Linked DNA regions of Elephas maximus indicus. The protein of the gene in region 2 interacts with the protein of the main gene of each other region in a biochemical or structural test. Links are inferred from orthologs where the notes say so. Each region holds a gene or a part of one and is shown on either strand. Other genes may lie near its edges.

Region 1 (7,820 bases), on a different chromosome or scaffold from region 2:
GGGAACCCCCCTTGAAGATCATCTATGCAGCCTTGGCTCTGAGCCAGTCCCCGTAGAGAAGAGTACTCCCCCACCCCATAGCTAGGCCAGGAAGTGGGCGTGGCAGGTGTGGTGAGGAGTGTGGATGAGGGTAAGGGGAGTTCTCAGGTCCAGAAAGGGAACCAAGAGCTGTGGTTGGGCCCTGCTGAAGAATTCTGGGAATAGGCCAGTCCTGCCCTGACCATCACTGCTCTTGCAGCAGCAACTGGAAGCGCTTGGAGAGGCCCTGGCAACAAATAGGGAGAGGCAGAGAGGTGCAGTGGGGGGCGCAGTGAGTTCAGCCCGCACAGCACCACATCCTCCCCTAGAGGCCCGGAAATCACCCCCCAGGCCCCTGGGCCACCTCCTATTCCTCTGGGGCAGGAAGAGGAAGTGAATATAAAGTCATTCTCTCTTTCCCAGCCTGCCTCTTCCCCAAGCCTGGGGTAGCTCCCTCCAGGAAGCCCTCCTGGCAGCCATCTGTCACCTTGGGGCCCAGCAGGGACTACACAAGGCTTGAGGAGGGGCCTGAGCCCTGGCCTGTCCACCACAGCCCAGGAGGAGAAAGGAAGGGAATAGCAGTGGGCAGTCCCTATCCCCAGCCTGTGCACACCTTGTCATCACAGAAAGCACTAGCCCAAAGATGTAGAAAGAAGGCACCGGGCAGAGGGAGAGGAGGTAGCAAAGCTGAGAACTGGATCCTAGTCACCCAGCTCCCAGCCCCTGGTAAGGCCCTCTCTTCTTCCCCACTCTCCAGCTTCTGGGGCCTCTCCTCTCACTTGTAACAACTTCTTGCAGTCTGACTCAGTCTCTCCGACTGCAAACTCAACCTATCAACCCCTTCATCCTTACAGGAAGTGAGGAGCGGGGGATGCCCATAGCTGAGAACAGCGCAGCCACTCCCTCCCTTCTGCCAGGGAAGGATGAGGCCTGGCACTCAGGGTCAGGCTAGAACAAGAGGGAAGCGGGGCTCAGAGCACAACTCCTCTCTTCGCTTCAGCCACAAATAGTTTCCTAAGCTGGATTCAGGGCCCGATAATCCAGGAACAGCAAGCCTCAGACCTGTGTGATTAGGGTCAGAAGGGACCAGGCAGGGAGTGCCAGGGCAGACAGCCCTGGAACCCTGTTTTCAATTCTGCAGAGGGGAGAGCTCCCATGAATCCCTTCCCCTACTTACAGATGCCCTGTCTCTATGGGCTATGAATTTCCTTCACAAGAGGAGACGCACGGTACATGGGACGTGGATTGGGAGCTCCCTGTAGTTACAAAGAACTCAGGCAGGCCAAACAGGTCAGCATGAGCTCCTGACATTCTGTGAAGAAGTTCTGCCCCAGAAATAAGCTGAACCCTAAATGCTGCTGTTGCCAACTACAGCCCAATTGGCATCAACATCAACCTGGTTCAGACCCCCTCCCTCCACCAGTGCCCGCTTGAGCAAGGGAGCTCAGCCCTCCAGGGGCCCAGCCAAGAATGGCTGCTGCCTGGCTCAGAGAGGAGGGAAGAGCTGGACCCCCAGAGACCTAGCTGCACAGGCCCAGGCCCGTCATCATGGTCCCCTCCACAGCTCTGTCTGGGAGCCTTAGGCTCTGCTGTTTCTGCAGCTCCAGGGCTCAGGTCCCCATGCCTGTTCCCCACCCCCATAGAAAGAGCCCCAACCGTTGCTGTCGCAGAGGGAGCCAGAGCAGGCAGCTGATGAATGAAGCCAAGGTGGAGAGCTACTGCCTCCCCAAATGCCTCTCGTTCTTCCAGACTCTGCCACGTCCTCCTTCATGAAGTCCCCTAGCCCTTGTCCCTTGCCCATGGTGACCTCCTGAATGCCTGAATGCCCAGTTTGCCTCCAGCCATGAACAGCCTGTGTGGTACCCTCAGTACTGTTGACAAAAGAGCCCTATTTACAAAGCAGTGTGTCAGGCACTGTGTAAAGTCAGAAGGTTAATTTTATCTTCGCAATAACCCTATGAGGTAGATGTTATTAAACCCATCTTACAGATGAAGAAATATGCTCAGAGAGGTGAGGTTACTTGTCCAAGGTCACACAGCCAACTATGTGACAAAGCTGGGACTCAAATCCAGCCAGTTTGGCTCAGAAACTCTTAACCACAGTGGAGAATAGGTCTCCATTGATTGGAGTCCTGCAGCACTGAAGGAGTACAGATCCTGGCCCAGGCTCGCCAGCATTAACCCACTCCTGTCAGGACCCAGAGCCAACCCATTGAGGCTTCCCATTCAGTTTCTTTTCCGGGGTGGGGGATGGCCCCAGTCTTCCTGGGGGGGGTCCAGGGTGACAGCATTAATGGTCAGGAAGACCTCAGTAGTCTTGAGTCCACCTAAGCAGCTCAGTCTCCACCTAGCCTCCAGGGGCAGGGGCTGAGGACAGGCTACACTCACTCCACTCCTCATCAGTGCAGAGCCAGGCCTCAAGGGGCTTTGAGGACTCCGCGGGGAAGGGGCCATAGTTGCAGCTGCTGCCCGACCTTCACCATGGGAAAGGGAATGAACCCGTCCCCCAAAATAATATACCTCAAAAGGGAGAGGAGGGGTACCCAGGGAGATCAAAGAAAGGGGGGCCATGGAGACCTCAGGCTTGGACGCAGGAGGGAGGGAAGCAAACGTAGAAGAGGGGGCCAAGAAGGGGGAGGGAATGCGGGGAGAGAGCCGGGAAGGGGGGCGGGGGCCGGGCCCCGCGCAACGAGAGGGTCCCCCTTCTCGCTCTTGCTCCCTGCAGCCGGCGGGCAGCGCTCCTCGCCGGTGCTCACCGCCCGTGATCCGCTGTAGTCCCAGCACGTCCTCCGGCCCGATCGGCTGCTTCCTCCGCAGTGGCCCCGGCCTGGGCCCCGGGTCTGCCTCCGGCTCCGACTCGGACCCGGATTCGGATTCCGCTTGCGACTTCGGCTCAGGTTTGGGCTCCACGCTCGGGCCTGAGGCCCCTAGAGCGGGCTCCGCCCCCGTCCCGGCCCCGTCGCCGCCCTTCTTCACCTTCATGGCCTCGCCTGCTGCCGCCGCCGCCGCCGCCGCTGCCTGAGCCAGCTGGAGCCGGGAGAAGGGTGAGCGGCCGCAGCCCCGCCCCGGCCGGGGCCCCAGGTACCGCTCCGCCCCGGCCCCCCGGCCCTTCCTCTGGGCTGGGTCCGGCACTGACTCCGCCCACGCGCAGGGCCCACCGGGGTCGGGAGTCTGGGGACCGCCCACCAGGGCTCTCATCCCCGCTAGGGTGAGGGCTGGCCCTGGGCTTCATTCATTTTCTGGAAGGTAATTCAGGGAGGTACTGCCTACCTCTCCTTCCACGCTGCGCTCCAGTCCCTGTGCCCTTCTCACTGCCCTTACAGTCCTCAAGCGAACTCCAGCCTTGGAGTCTTTGCCCAGGGTGTTCTCCCCCTATATGACCTCTTCTTGTCCTTTTGGTCTCACCTTAAATGTCAAAGGCCATACCTCACATCCAAACTAAAGTACACCCCCCTCGCCCCCAATCATTAACCAATTAGTTCATTTTTTTCTAATACATAACTGAAACTATTTTTATTTGCTCAGTCTCTTCCCCCTCAAAGACCAGCTAAGCCAAAGCGGACTGTTTTGTTCCCTATTATGGCCCCAGCACCTAGCAGAAGCCCACTGAGGCCTGTGCTCAATAACTTTTCCTTTGTTGAATGAGCTAGTACCTGAGGGCTTTCACTGGTATAAGCTATTCTCTCAGTTCCCTGCTAAAAAGCAGACGTAGCTGCTAACAGCCTTGTTGGGCAACCCAGGACACCCAGACGGACAACGGCCCAGGTGTCGGGCCACCAGAGCCCTACAAGACAGAGGGGCAGGAAGGGCACATGGCCAGATAGAGGCAAGGTGGACCTGTGAGCCCAGGAAGATAGATGCCAGAAAACGATTACTTACACGTAAATGAAGAATTAAAAGTATAGCCATACTTCATATCATTTCAATTCATATTCAACCAATGTTTATTGAGAGCCTAGTAGATGCCAGACACTTTCACATGATTTATCACATCTAATCTGCACAACAACCTTGTTAAGGGAGGTGTCATTAGTGCCATTTTAACAAATGAGGGAGCTCACTAGATGATAAATGCAGAAGCAAGGAATTCAGGCCTTTTTGATTTCAACTCTGGAACTTTCTCCACTGTACCATACCGCCCAAGCCTCTGCCACACACAGCACCAAGTCCTGAGCTGCTGCCTTCTGGACTCCTGTCTGTCTGGCTGTACCCAACAGGCGCAGCAAGCCAGGAAGGAGAGGCGTAAGGGAGGAGCCCCCGAGTGACCTGTGCCTGGGCCCCTTCCAGCAAAGCAGTGCTGGGGCTCTCCCTGAGGGGTTAGAGAAAACTGTGCAGGGTGGAAGGATCCAACCAGGGCTTTCCCTCATGCTGCCTTCTCGGTAACAAGAGGAGTGTGCTATGTTGAGAAACAGGGTAGAAGTACAAGCTGTCCTTGCCCCAGCTGGAGGTAGTCAGGTATCTTCAAGTTCAGGTCAGATAAGGAGACCGAGGTGATGCTACTATGACACTCCGGAGAGTATGAGGAGTGGGGAGGCAGGGAGACCTGAGCCCGGGGAATGGAAAGGGAAGATGAATCCATCTTGGAGTATTGCACTTCGGTTGCTGGAAAGGCAACAGAGGCTGGAAACAGGTCATTCGCAGCAGGCCCGATTTATGTGCCTCTCAATCTAACACCTCCCATCCTGGCCTGAAAAGAAGGGCTCCTACTGAGATTCTGCCCTGCTCAGTCTATCTTCTCAGGCTTCTTCCAGGACTTGCGGGTCTCCAGAAAGATCTTGAACAGGGATAGGAGGATGGGCACGGCCATAGGCAGGAAGAGTGGGATGTAGATGGCAAACTTCTGGTCATCAGGAAAATACAGGAGGTGGAGGAGTGAGGGGTCAAAAAAGGCACGTTCTGAGGACGTCACAGCTTCCTGGCTGGCAAGGAAGGCAGAGGCCAGGTGTCCAGTGGCCAACTCCTCTGCTGCCTTCTGGACTGCAGCTACTGCCCTGTAAACCTAGGAAGGAGAGAGAGGGTTAAAATAAGTCCTAGGCATGGTGGGGAAGGGGCTGGCCTTTAACCTGCCTTTGGCCTACCAGGGAGTTTGCCTGGAGTTCACCCAGGATAAATGGAGGTCAGTATAAAAGGGCTATGTGTGTATTTCTTAGGGTCTGCTTGAAACCTCTCATTCCCATTTGGACTCCTGAGGCTGGCACTGCCCTCTAGAGGAAGCCTGGGGCACTCAAGGATGGCATGCTCACACACACCCTGGACCTCAGATGGCTCTCTCCGGTTGCACCATATACTTTGGCCCTCACTGACCTCTCCAGTTCTAGGCCACAGAATCCGTCCCTGCCCACGTACCTCAGATGCCACATCATCCTTGATGACAATGTTGCTGATCTTGCCCAGAAGCTGGGCCAGGGACGTGAGGGTGGTCATAGCCGTGGCCAGGTTCTCCACTGACCGAGCCCAGAGCAGCCGGTCCAGCTCCCAGCTCATTAGCCCTTCACTCTTAGGCCCCGAAAACAGGCATTTGGGAGGCAGGTGGGGCTGAGCAATCCCAAAGAGCAGTCTGTAGGAACAGCCAAGTAAGATCAAGGTGGCTGAGACCAGAAGGTGGGAGAAGATGGCTAAGATTCCTGGATTATCTGCCCTAAGTCAATGACTTCAATCTTACCCTGAACCATAGGGGTTGTGGGGAAGTGTCTCAGAGTCTTGAAGAGTGAGCAACACCACCAAGCAATCCAGAGCCCCAAACCCTGCTTTCCCCAGAGTGTTTCCACTTTCACCTGTTTCTATATTGGCCATCCAAGACCTTGTTTGAAGAAAGCTTCCAGGGCTAAAAAACTTCTGATAACACCAACTGAGTTTAACCCCCTCACCCTTCCTTACCCTCTCTTTGGACAAATGGGGCCACTGGGACTTAAGAGTTAAGGGATGATCCAGGACCATCTTTAACAAAAAGGTATGTGTGCTATGCCTCTCGTCCTATACCCATGCCAGACATTGCTAATCAATCAGAAGAATACTCTTTTTCTGATGCGGCCAGACACACAGGACTTCAGGCAGCCACTCTCATAATCAATCAATTAGTACAATGAATTAATAGCTGTTTTCTTAAGCACAACTAATCATGCCTCATGGACCTGACATTCATGTCTACCTTTCTTAAATTGGGTTTTGCAAGCAACCAGACCTACTTAGAAAAAGGATGAAGCAATTCTTGGAAAGCTTTCTTGGCTTCCTGGTGGCTCTAGGCATAGCCCAGGTATCCCTGGCAAGGGAGATTTCATTCTGATTGCAATCCCCCTCTAGAGCCAAGGAGACTGTGGTCAGTCTCTCAGTGGCCATGCCCTCCGAATGGAACACCCAGGGCCTCACCGCAGCTGAGCCAGGAACACCTCCATCACTTGTACCATGTCCACCTCGACTTTCACCGGCAGCCCCGAGGCATTGTAGGCTGTGGGGTCAACGTTGTATACCTGAAAGGGGGAAGGAGATCACCATAACACTACATCAGGACTATGCACAGCTCTTCCCTAGGCACTCTGGAGGTCATGAGAGAAAATGAAAACACAGTCTCTGTTCTTTGGAAGCTATAAAACTGATGGCATAGCTAATACTTTTTGAGTAAGTGCTTGGTTGCTAAGCAAAAATGGCATCCCACTGGCAGCTTCGAGGGAGAAAAACCTGGCAATCTGCTCCCATAAAGATTTATAGCCTAGGAAACCTCATGGGACAGTTCTACTCTGTTCTATAGGGTCGCTATGAGTCAGAATCAACTTGACAGCATACAACAACTACTATTAGGAATTTACATAAAGTACCTCAATTATTCCCTCAAACGTCCTGTCAAATACATTTTTTAAATCTTATTTTATAGTTCTAAGCTATGAGAAACTCCCAGGCTAAAAGGGAGGCAAAGCTCCTAACCTTGCAAGACTCCCACAAATAGGGCCAGGACCTAAGATGTTCACAGAATAGTCCTAAATAAGTGCAAACTGCCAAGTGCAAAAGGGTCATATTGGCCATCAATCAGCACTGGCAAACACAAGAGAGTGGTGCTGGCAGAGGGAGGACAGGAGCACACAGCACCCTTGCCTCCTTGGTGCCTGCCTCTCCCGCAGACTAGGCCACAGAGGACACCTGAGGCAACAGAAAGAACGGTCTCAGGGATCATCTGTCTATCCCTGAAGCTTGGGCACTGGGGTCTGCAGTGTGATTGTTACCATAATGCCTCCCCAGCGGGGACTGTGGAAGGCGTTGGTGGCGACTGGAGTCCCATCCTTGTCCTGAATGTAGAGCGGGGAGTGGGCAAGCTCAGGCACGTACAGTAGAAAGTTGAGCACAGGGTAGAGGGAAGCAGCGCTGGACCCTGTGGGACAGAGAGAAGAGCAGATCGAACACCAAACACACCAGACCAAGATCTTAGCTCCAAGCCAGCCTCTAACTCACTGGTCACCCACCCTGGGCCTCAGTTTCCCCAACTAATACTCTCTGGGATATCCTCCAGTCTTGGGTTTCTGTGGTGTAGGACCTCTCAGTATTTTCCCAAGATGTGCCAGATGGATGGAGTGTGGTCCTAAGTCCCAAAATGCCCCTGGAATCTTCTTTAAGAGACCCCCTTTGCTCTCTTGGCCACTGCCACACTGTACCCACATTATTATACCTAGTTTTAAGCACAGGTATGAATCTGATCTCAAGTCAGTTCTCTGCTTAATTTTTTTTAAAGTCTACCCATTAATATCAAACTCCATAATGTGGTCCTTATTGAACAGTCTGGTATTTGCTGCTTGCCTTGCCAGCATCATCATTTC
Region 2 (8,025 bases):
TGGGTGTTGTCATCCCTTAATTCATTCCACAAATGTTTACTGAATATCTACTACATGCCAGGCCCCCTTTTGGATGCTGGGGGCACCCCAGATAAGAGGACAAAGTCCCCACCCTTGGGCAGCTCACAATTGAGCAAGGAGACAGCTGAAAAAGTGCAAACCAGTGAGAAACTTAAGATGCTGGTGAGCTTCAGAAACCCAATGATGAGGCTCTGAGAAGGTCACCTTCTGTGAGAAGGTGTCTTGAGGTGAGGCCCGAACTACAAGGAGTCAGTTTTCTGAAAGACTGGGGAAGGGCATTCCAGGCAGAGGGAACAGCAGGAGCAAATAACTGGGGGCACCTACCCTTTCTTCGTTGTTTCTGGAATGTACCAAACCCTTTACTGCTGAATGAGTGTGCAAAGGAATGGTGAGTTCCCCAAGTGGGAGAGACAACCTTCCTCTTTCCTTCCAACACTTACGGGGACTTGTAGCTCTGTGTGGTGTGTGTGTGGTGTGTGTGTGTGTGTGCGTGTGTGTGTGTGTGGAGGGACACAGGCCCTGGGCTCAGCCTCTTATTGCTCACCTTACCTGGGGCAAGTGACTCAAGCCATGAAATGGGGTGATGAGAGGACCTGCCCTGAAACCCAGCCACGGCCCCTGATAACTGGCAGCTGATATTTCTCCCCTCTCCCTGCATCATCCATGATTCCTTCCACACGGGATCATTCCCATCAGCTGACAACCTCACTGTTGTTACTCCCCGCTTAGAAAAAGCAAACAAAACCTTCTCTTGTTCCCTCTCCTTTCTCCAGCTAGCTGTTTATTTCCTTCCCTTTACAGCAAAGCTCCTCGAAACGCTGCCTCCATCACTCTCCCCAATCTGCCCTCTTGCTCTTTCTAGAGCCCACTTCCATCAGGCTTCTGCTCCCTCTGCCTCCCTAAAATTGCTCTTGCCATGGTCAGTCCCCAGAGACCTCCACTGTGCTCTCCAATGGCTGGTCGGTGCTTGGTTCCCATCTTCCAGCTCTACCAGCAGCACCTGACAGACCTGCCTGTCTCTCACTCCCTGACCCATGCTGCCCTTGCTCTGAGACATGTCCTCGCTGGGGCCTCCTCATATCTCCTGGCTGCTCCTCCTCATCACCCTGATCTCTTGATTGGACGGAGTACACTTCACTCTCTTCTCTGTCACACTCACCCTCTAGGTGAGCTCATCCAGGATCCTGACTGCAAATACCATCTTTATGCTGTTGACTCCCAAATTGATGCCTCTCGCCCAGCTGCTCCCCTGGTCACCTGTCCCAAAACCCAGCTGCCTCCCTGACATTCCTGGGATGTCTCAGAGGCATCTCACATGGCCAAGTGAGCTCTCAGCTTCCATCCCTGTCCCGACCTGCTCTGCCCTGGTCTTCTCTGTCAGCTAGGCTCCTCATTCTTCTAATTGCTCAGGCCAGAAAGCCAAGAGTCAGGCTTGACTTTGCTTTCTCACACCGTTGGCCAATCCAGGAGCAATTCCTGCCTGCTCTCTCATTACCTTCCTACTTCATCACTATGATGATTCCACTCTGATCCAAGCCACCATCCTATCTCGTTCTCATTATCGTGATTGACCCCTAACTGGTCTCCCCCTTCTGCCCTTAACCCATGTCCTCTATTTGCAACACAGAAGCCAAAGTCAGACCACTCTTCTCCTCTGTACAAGACCCTGCCTGGACTGTCTTCCCCAGACACCTCTGACCTAATCTTCTAGTGCTCTCTTCCCTGCTCATTCTCTCCAGTCACACTGCCCTTGAACGCACCAGCTGAGTTCCTTTTGGGCCCTTTGCACTTGCCCTTGTCTTTGCCTTGACTAGTCTTCTCCAGGTAATTACACAGTTCACCCCTCACTTTACTCACCCGTCATCTCCAGGAGCCTTTCTTGGCTCACCCTATTTTAACGGCATTCTTCTCTCCCCACAAAAAATATTTTATTTGTTTTATCATCTTTCTCCCCTCAGGCATTCTATAACATTCAAGAGGACAGAACTTTGTTTTGCTGTTTTACCTAGCAAACATGGCACACAGGAGGCGCTCCATAAATACGTATTTCTTGAATGAGTGAATTCTCTGCGCCTTTCTCCGGGATCTTTAAAATGAACACGGCGGGCATATTTTTAAATTATTTGCGCGCATAAGCGACTTCTCTGCTGGCCCAACTAGTGGGTCTCAGATGCCCCACGTGGCCCGGCACAGTGTAAAACTCCCACTGCTGTCCAGTGGATTCCGACTCATAGTAACCCTATAGGAAAGGCGCGAAGTGCCCCATAGGGTTTCCAGGGAGCGGCTGGTGGATTCGAACTGCCAACCTTTTTGGTTAACGACGGAACTCTTTACCACTGCGCCACACAGAGTAGGGTGAATGAATGCAGGGACCCTGGGGCTAACAAGTCCTCAGCTTCGGGGACACCGAGGGGCCGCGGGGTGTCACACACAGTCTAGCCCGCAAGCAAACCGCCCAGCGGAACCAACCCTCGCCCCCCGGGAGCAGAGGGCGGGGCCGCGTCCCCGGGATTCCGAGTTTGGGGGCGGGGCCGGGGCCGGCACCCTCGGACAGGGGGGAAGAGGTCAGAGCCGGGAGGACAGCGGTCCCACGCTCGTGCCAGGCCTCCGGACGGTGACGTCTGAGTCACCTCCGGGCCCTATCGCCCCGCTACGCTTGGGACGCCTGGTCCCTCCGCTGCGCCTTTAGGCCCACACCTTTGGCCTCTGGACTGGAGTCCCCCCTCCCCGAGCCGATGGTACGGCCTCCTCTCGGCCCCAGCCCGAGCGATTGGTAGGGCCCACGTGCGTGACGCACAATGGGCAGTTGGTACGAGCTGGCCGGCCGCGCACCCCGCGCCCGGTAGGGGGCGTCTGTCACTGCCCCCCGGCTGGGACCCCACTACCCTAGCGGCTCCGCCGTCCGGGAGGATACAGCATGAGCAGTCGCAGCTCCCGCTCTTTCTCCTTCATTTTCTTCAGAATGGTCAGAAGCCCCATGATCCCAGCAGCCCCCTCCCGGCCGCCGTTTCTTCCTAGTCCTGGGATCCCCGCTCCTTGCTCCTATTGGCTATCACGCCCAGCGACAGCACAGCCCATTGGCCAGCCCTTTTTGGGCCCGCCCTTGCCCCACGTGACCTCAGAGCGGCCGCGCTGTGTCTCTGCTGGGGTCCCTCTAGCGGCGGCGCGGCTTCTGCGCGGCCACCTGCCTTAACCCTTCGCGTCCCGAGGGCCGACAGTTGGGGGCGAGGGCGAGTCTATTCCGTCCTCCCAGGACCCAAAAACTCGGCCGGGAACGGAAACCTGAAGTTCATGGGTTGGATCTTGGCCAGGTAGGGAGTACCTGCAAAAAGGTGTGGCCAGCCGGGGACCCAGGAGTCAGAAGCGAGAGCCTCATGACCTGGGGCTGTCCTGGAGGCTGTGTAAGGGCCTGTTACCCGGAAACGTGGTCCAGATCCCGCTCTTTTGGGGCCTTGGTGTCATCCTAAATTTGCCAATGACGGAACAGGAATTGGGCCTCCCCCTTGCCAGGCTCCTGAATGCCGGTATTGGTCCCTAGGGACCGTTGGAAATGTGCGGGGTGGGGTGGGGTTGCGTGTTTTGGGTTGATTCAGCGACGGAGGGAAGATTCCCCCACGTTTAGACGGTGGGAAGCAGGGATAGTAGGTAGTGTCCTGCAATGCTGGGGACAGACCCTCACAAGAATTGTCCCGCCTGAGCCCATGGTTTCCCTTTGAAGAAAAACAATCTCACGTTTGCTGATGACAAAAATGAGGCCCACCAAAAACTCGCTGCTGTCCAGTCGATTCTGACTCATAACGACCTTATAGGGCGGTAGAACTGCCCCATAGGGTTTCCAAGGAGTGCCTCGTGGATTCTTGGAACTGCTGACCTTTTTTAGTTAGCAGCGGTAGCACTTAAACATTAACCACTACACAACCAGGGTTTTCTTGAGGCCCACAGTGACTGGCAAATAGTAGATGCTCAATAAATAGTTGCTGTTGAATGAGTGACTTTGTCCAACAGTTTGGTTCTTTCCCTTAGTTTAGTACCCAAGAGATCCAGAAAAACTGAGGAAACTGAGGCCAGGAAGCAAGCAGATTGTAAGCTCAGAAGGGTGAGTCTCGTGTGTTATTTTGAGCCCTTCCACAAGTTCACTATAGGGTAAGTGTGAGTAGACAGCACAAAGGAACCAAACAGTTGATGGGGAGTTAATGCTGATTCCTGGTGACCCCTTGTGTGTCAGAGTAGAACTGTGCTGTATAGGGTGTTCAATGACTGGCTTTTTGCAATAGAGTGCCAGGCCTTTTTTCTGAGGCACTTCTGGGTGGACTTGGAACTTTCAACCTTTCCATTAGGTGCTGAACATTTTAATCATTTGTACCATCCAGGGACTTCTAGCAGAGTTCTTGTTAGGTGCCCTTGAGTCGGTTCCAAGTCATAGAGACCCTATGCATAACAGAAGGATACACTGCCTGGTCCTGCACCATCCTCAGAATTTTTGTCATGCTTGAGGCCATTGTTGCAGTCACTGTGTCAGTCCATTTTGTTGAGGGTCTTTCTCTTTTTCGCTGACCCTCTACTTTACCAAACATGATGGCCTCCTCCAAGGACTGATCCCCCCGATAATATGTCTAAAGTATGTGAGACGAAGTCTCCCTGTCCTTGCTTCTAAGGAGCATTCTGGCTGTACTTCTTCCAAGACAGATTTGTTTCTTCTTTTGGCAGTCCGTAGTATAGTCAATATTTTCACCAAGCCATAACTCAAAGGCATCAATTCTTCAGTCTTCCTTGTTCATTGTCCAGCTTTCACATGCATATGAGGCGATCGAAAACACTATGGCTTAGTCTTCAAGGGAGGATCTTCGGTTTTAAATACTTTAAGGAGGTCTTTCGCAGTAGATTTGCCCGATGCAATGCGTCCTTTGATTTCTTCACTGCTGCGTCCGTGGGTGTTGATTGTGGATCCAAGTAAAATGAAATCCTTGACAACTTAATCTTTTCTCCATTTATTATGATGTTACTTATTGATCCAGTTGTGAGGATTTTTGTTTTCTTTATGTTGAGGGACAATCCATACTGAAGGGTGTGGTCTTTGATATTCATCAGTAAGTGCTTCAAATCCTCTTCACTTTCAGCAATCAAGGTTGTGTCATCTGCATAACGCAGGTTGTTAATGAGCCTTCCTCCAATCCTGATGCCGTATTCTTCTTCATATAGTCCAGCTTCTGGGGTTATTTGCTCAGCATACAGATTGAATAAGTATGGTGAAAGGATACAACCCTAACCTATACCTTTCCTGACTTTAAACCACATAATATCTCTTTGTTCTATTCCAACAACTGCCTCTTGGTCTTTGTACAGGTTCCTCATGAGCACGATTAAGTGTTCTGGAATTCCCATTCTTCATAATGTTATCCATAATTTGTTATGATCCACACAGTTGAATGCTTTTGCATAGTCAGTAAAACACAGGTAAACATCTTTCTGGTGTTCTCTACTTTCCTCCAGGTTCTATATGACATCAGCAATGATATCCCTATTTCCATGTCGTCTTCTGAATCTGGCTTGAATTTCTCGCAGTTCTCTGTCAATATACTGCTGCAACCGCTTTTGAATGATCTTCAGCAATATTTTACCTGTATGTGATATTAATGATATTGTTGGATAATTTCTGCGTTCTGTTGAATTACGTTTTTTTGGAATAGGCATAAATATGGCTCTCCTCCAGTTGGTTGGTGTCGTGAGTTGAATTGTGCCCCCCAAAAGTATCTGTCAACTTGGCTAGACCGTGATTCCCTTGTATAATTGTATGATTGTTTACCGTTTTATCATCTGATGTGATTTCCGTATGTGTTGTAAATCCTATCACTCTGATGTAATAAGACGGATTAGCAGCAGTTATATTGATGAGACCTACAAGATTAGACAGTGTCTTAAGCCAATCTCTTTTGAGTTATAGAAGAGAGAAGTAAGCAGAGAGACATGGGAACTTCATACCACCAAGAAAGCAGAGTGCGTCCTTTGGATCTGAGGTTCCTGTGCTGAGATGCTCCCAGACCAAGGGAAGACTGATGATAAGGACCTTCCTCCAGAGCCTACAGAGAGAGAAAGCCTTCCCCTGGAGCTGACGCCCTGAATTCAGACTTCTAGCCTGCTGAACTGTGAGAGGATAAACTTCTGTTTGTTAAAGCCATCCACTTGTGGTATTTCTGTTATAGGAGCACTAGATGACTAAGACAGTTGGCCAGGTAGCTGTGTTCCAAATTTCTTGGCATAAACAAGTGACTACTTTCTAACACTGCACCCCTTTGTTGAAACATCTCAGTCGGTATTCCGTCAGTTCCTGGAGCCTTGTTTTTCGCCAGTGCTTCCAGCGCAGCTTGGGCTTCTTCCTTTAGTACCATCGGTTCTTGATCATATGCTTTCTCCTGAAATGGTCAAATATCGACCAATTCTTTTCGGTACAGTGACTCTGTGTATTCCTTCCATCTTCTTTTGATGCTTCCTGCGTCAATCAGTATTTTTGTTCGTTGAATCTTTTGATATTGCAACTCGAGGCTTGAATTTTTTTTTTCAGTTCTTTTAGCTTAAGAAATGCTGAACGTGTTCTTCCTTTTTGGTTTTCTAGCTCCACATCTTTGCACGTGTCATTATAGTACTTTGTCTTTTTGAGCTGCCCTTTGAAATCTTCTGGTCAGCTCTTTTCTTTCATCATTTCTTCTATTCAGCATTCAAGAGCAAGTTTCTTCTGACATCCATTTTGGTTTTTTCTTTTCCTGTCCTTTTAATGGCCTCTTTGATGTCATTACACAACTTGTGTGGTCTTTGGTCATTAGTGTTCAATGCATCAGGTCTGTTCTTGAGATGATCTTTAAATTTAGGTGGGGTATTCTCGAGGTTCTACTTTGGCTCTTGTGGAGTTGTTGTAATTTTCTTCAACTTCAACTTGAACTTGCATGTGAGCAATTAATGGCCTGTTCCACTGTTGGCCCCTGGCCTTGTTCTGACTGATAATATTGAGCTTTTCCATTGTCTCTTTCCACAGATGTAGTCAGTTTGATTCCTGTGTTTTCCATCTGGCAAGATCCCCATGTATAGTCGCTGGTTATGTTGTTGAAAAAAGGCATTTACGATGAAAAATTTGTCGGTCTTGCAAAATTCTGTCATGTGATCTCTGGAATCATTTCTATCACCAAGGCTGTATTTTCCAACTACTGATGCTTCTTTGTTTCCAACTTGCACATTACAACCACCAGTAATTATCAATACATCCTGATTGCATGTTTGATCAATCTGAGACTGCAGAAGTTGGTAAAAAATCTTCAATTTCTTTGTCTTTGGCCTTAGTGGTTGGTGTGTAAATTTGAATAGTAGTGTTAACTTGTCTTCCTTTTAGGCATATGGATATTATCCTATCATTGACAGCGTTGTACTTCAGGATAGATCTTGAAATGTTCTTTTTGACGATGAATGCAACCTCTTTCCTATTCAACTTACCATTCCCAGCATAGTAGACCATATGACTGTCCAATTCCAAATGGCCAATACCAGTCCATTTCAGCTCACTAATACCTAGCATATCGATCTTTATACATTCCATTTCATTTTTGATGATTTCCAATTTTCCTAGATTCATGGTTCGTACACCCCATGTTCCAATTATTAATGGATGTTTGCAGCCGTTTCTTCTCATTTTGAGTCGTGCCACATCAGCAAATGAAGGTCCTGAAAGCTTGACTCCATTTACATCATTCAGGTTGACTCTACTTTGAGGCAGCAGGTCTTCCCCAGTCATCTTTTGAGTGCCTTCAAACCTGAGGGGCTCGTCTTCCAGCACTATATCAGACAATGTTCCGCTGCTATTCATAAGGTTTTCACTGGCTATTTTTTCTTTTCCAGAAGTAGACCACCAGATCGTTCTTCCTAGCCTGTCTTAGTCTAGAAGCTCAGCTGAAAGCTGACCACCATGGGTGACCGTACTGGTATTAGAATACCAGTGGCATAGCTTCCAGCATCACAGCA

Evidence for each region. The genes of interacting proteins can lie anywhere in the genome.
Region 1: the proteins of ARL2 (region 2) and UNC119 form a complex in vitro, tested with the Homo sapiens proteins (2 studies listed by BioGRID and IntAct, with this or other methods). The link is inferred for Elephas maximus indicus from reciprocal best matches to the Homo sapiens genes ARL2 and UNC119.

What each region holds. Positions count from the first base shown.
Region 1 is NC_064837.1:23,334,133-23,341,952, reverse strand, and holds the start of UNC119 (protein unc-119 homolog A), read right to left. Parts: upstream 3,089-7,820; 5' UTR 3,001-3,088; coding exon 2,775-3,000; intron 1-2,774. Other genes in the region: PIGS (GPI transamidase component PIG-S), read right to left, coding at 4,742-5,017, 5,365-5,575, 6,385-6,485, 7,233-7,378. UniProt on the Homo sapiens protein: Involved in synaptic functions in photoreceptor cells, the signal transduction in immune cells as a Src family kinase activator, endosome recycling, the uptake of bacteria and endocytosis, protein trafficking in sensory neurons and as lipid-binding chaperone with specificity for a diverse subset of myristoylated proteins.
Region 2 is NC_064825.1:128,183,893-128,191,917, reverse strand, and holds the start of ARL2 (ADP-ribosylation factor-like protein 2), read right to left. Parts: upstream 3,091-8,025; 5' UTR 3,001-3,090; coding exon 2,936-3,000; intron 1-2,935. Other genes in the region: BATF2 (basic leucine zipper transcriptional factor ATF-like 2), read left to right, coding at 3,313-3,332, 4,045-4,117. UniProt on the Homo sapiens protein: Small GTP-binding protein which cycles between an inactive GDP-bound and an active GTP-bound form, and the rate of cycling is regulated by guanine nucleotide exchange factors (GEF) and GTPase-activating proteins (GAP).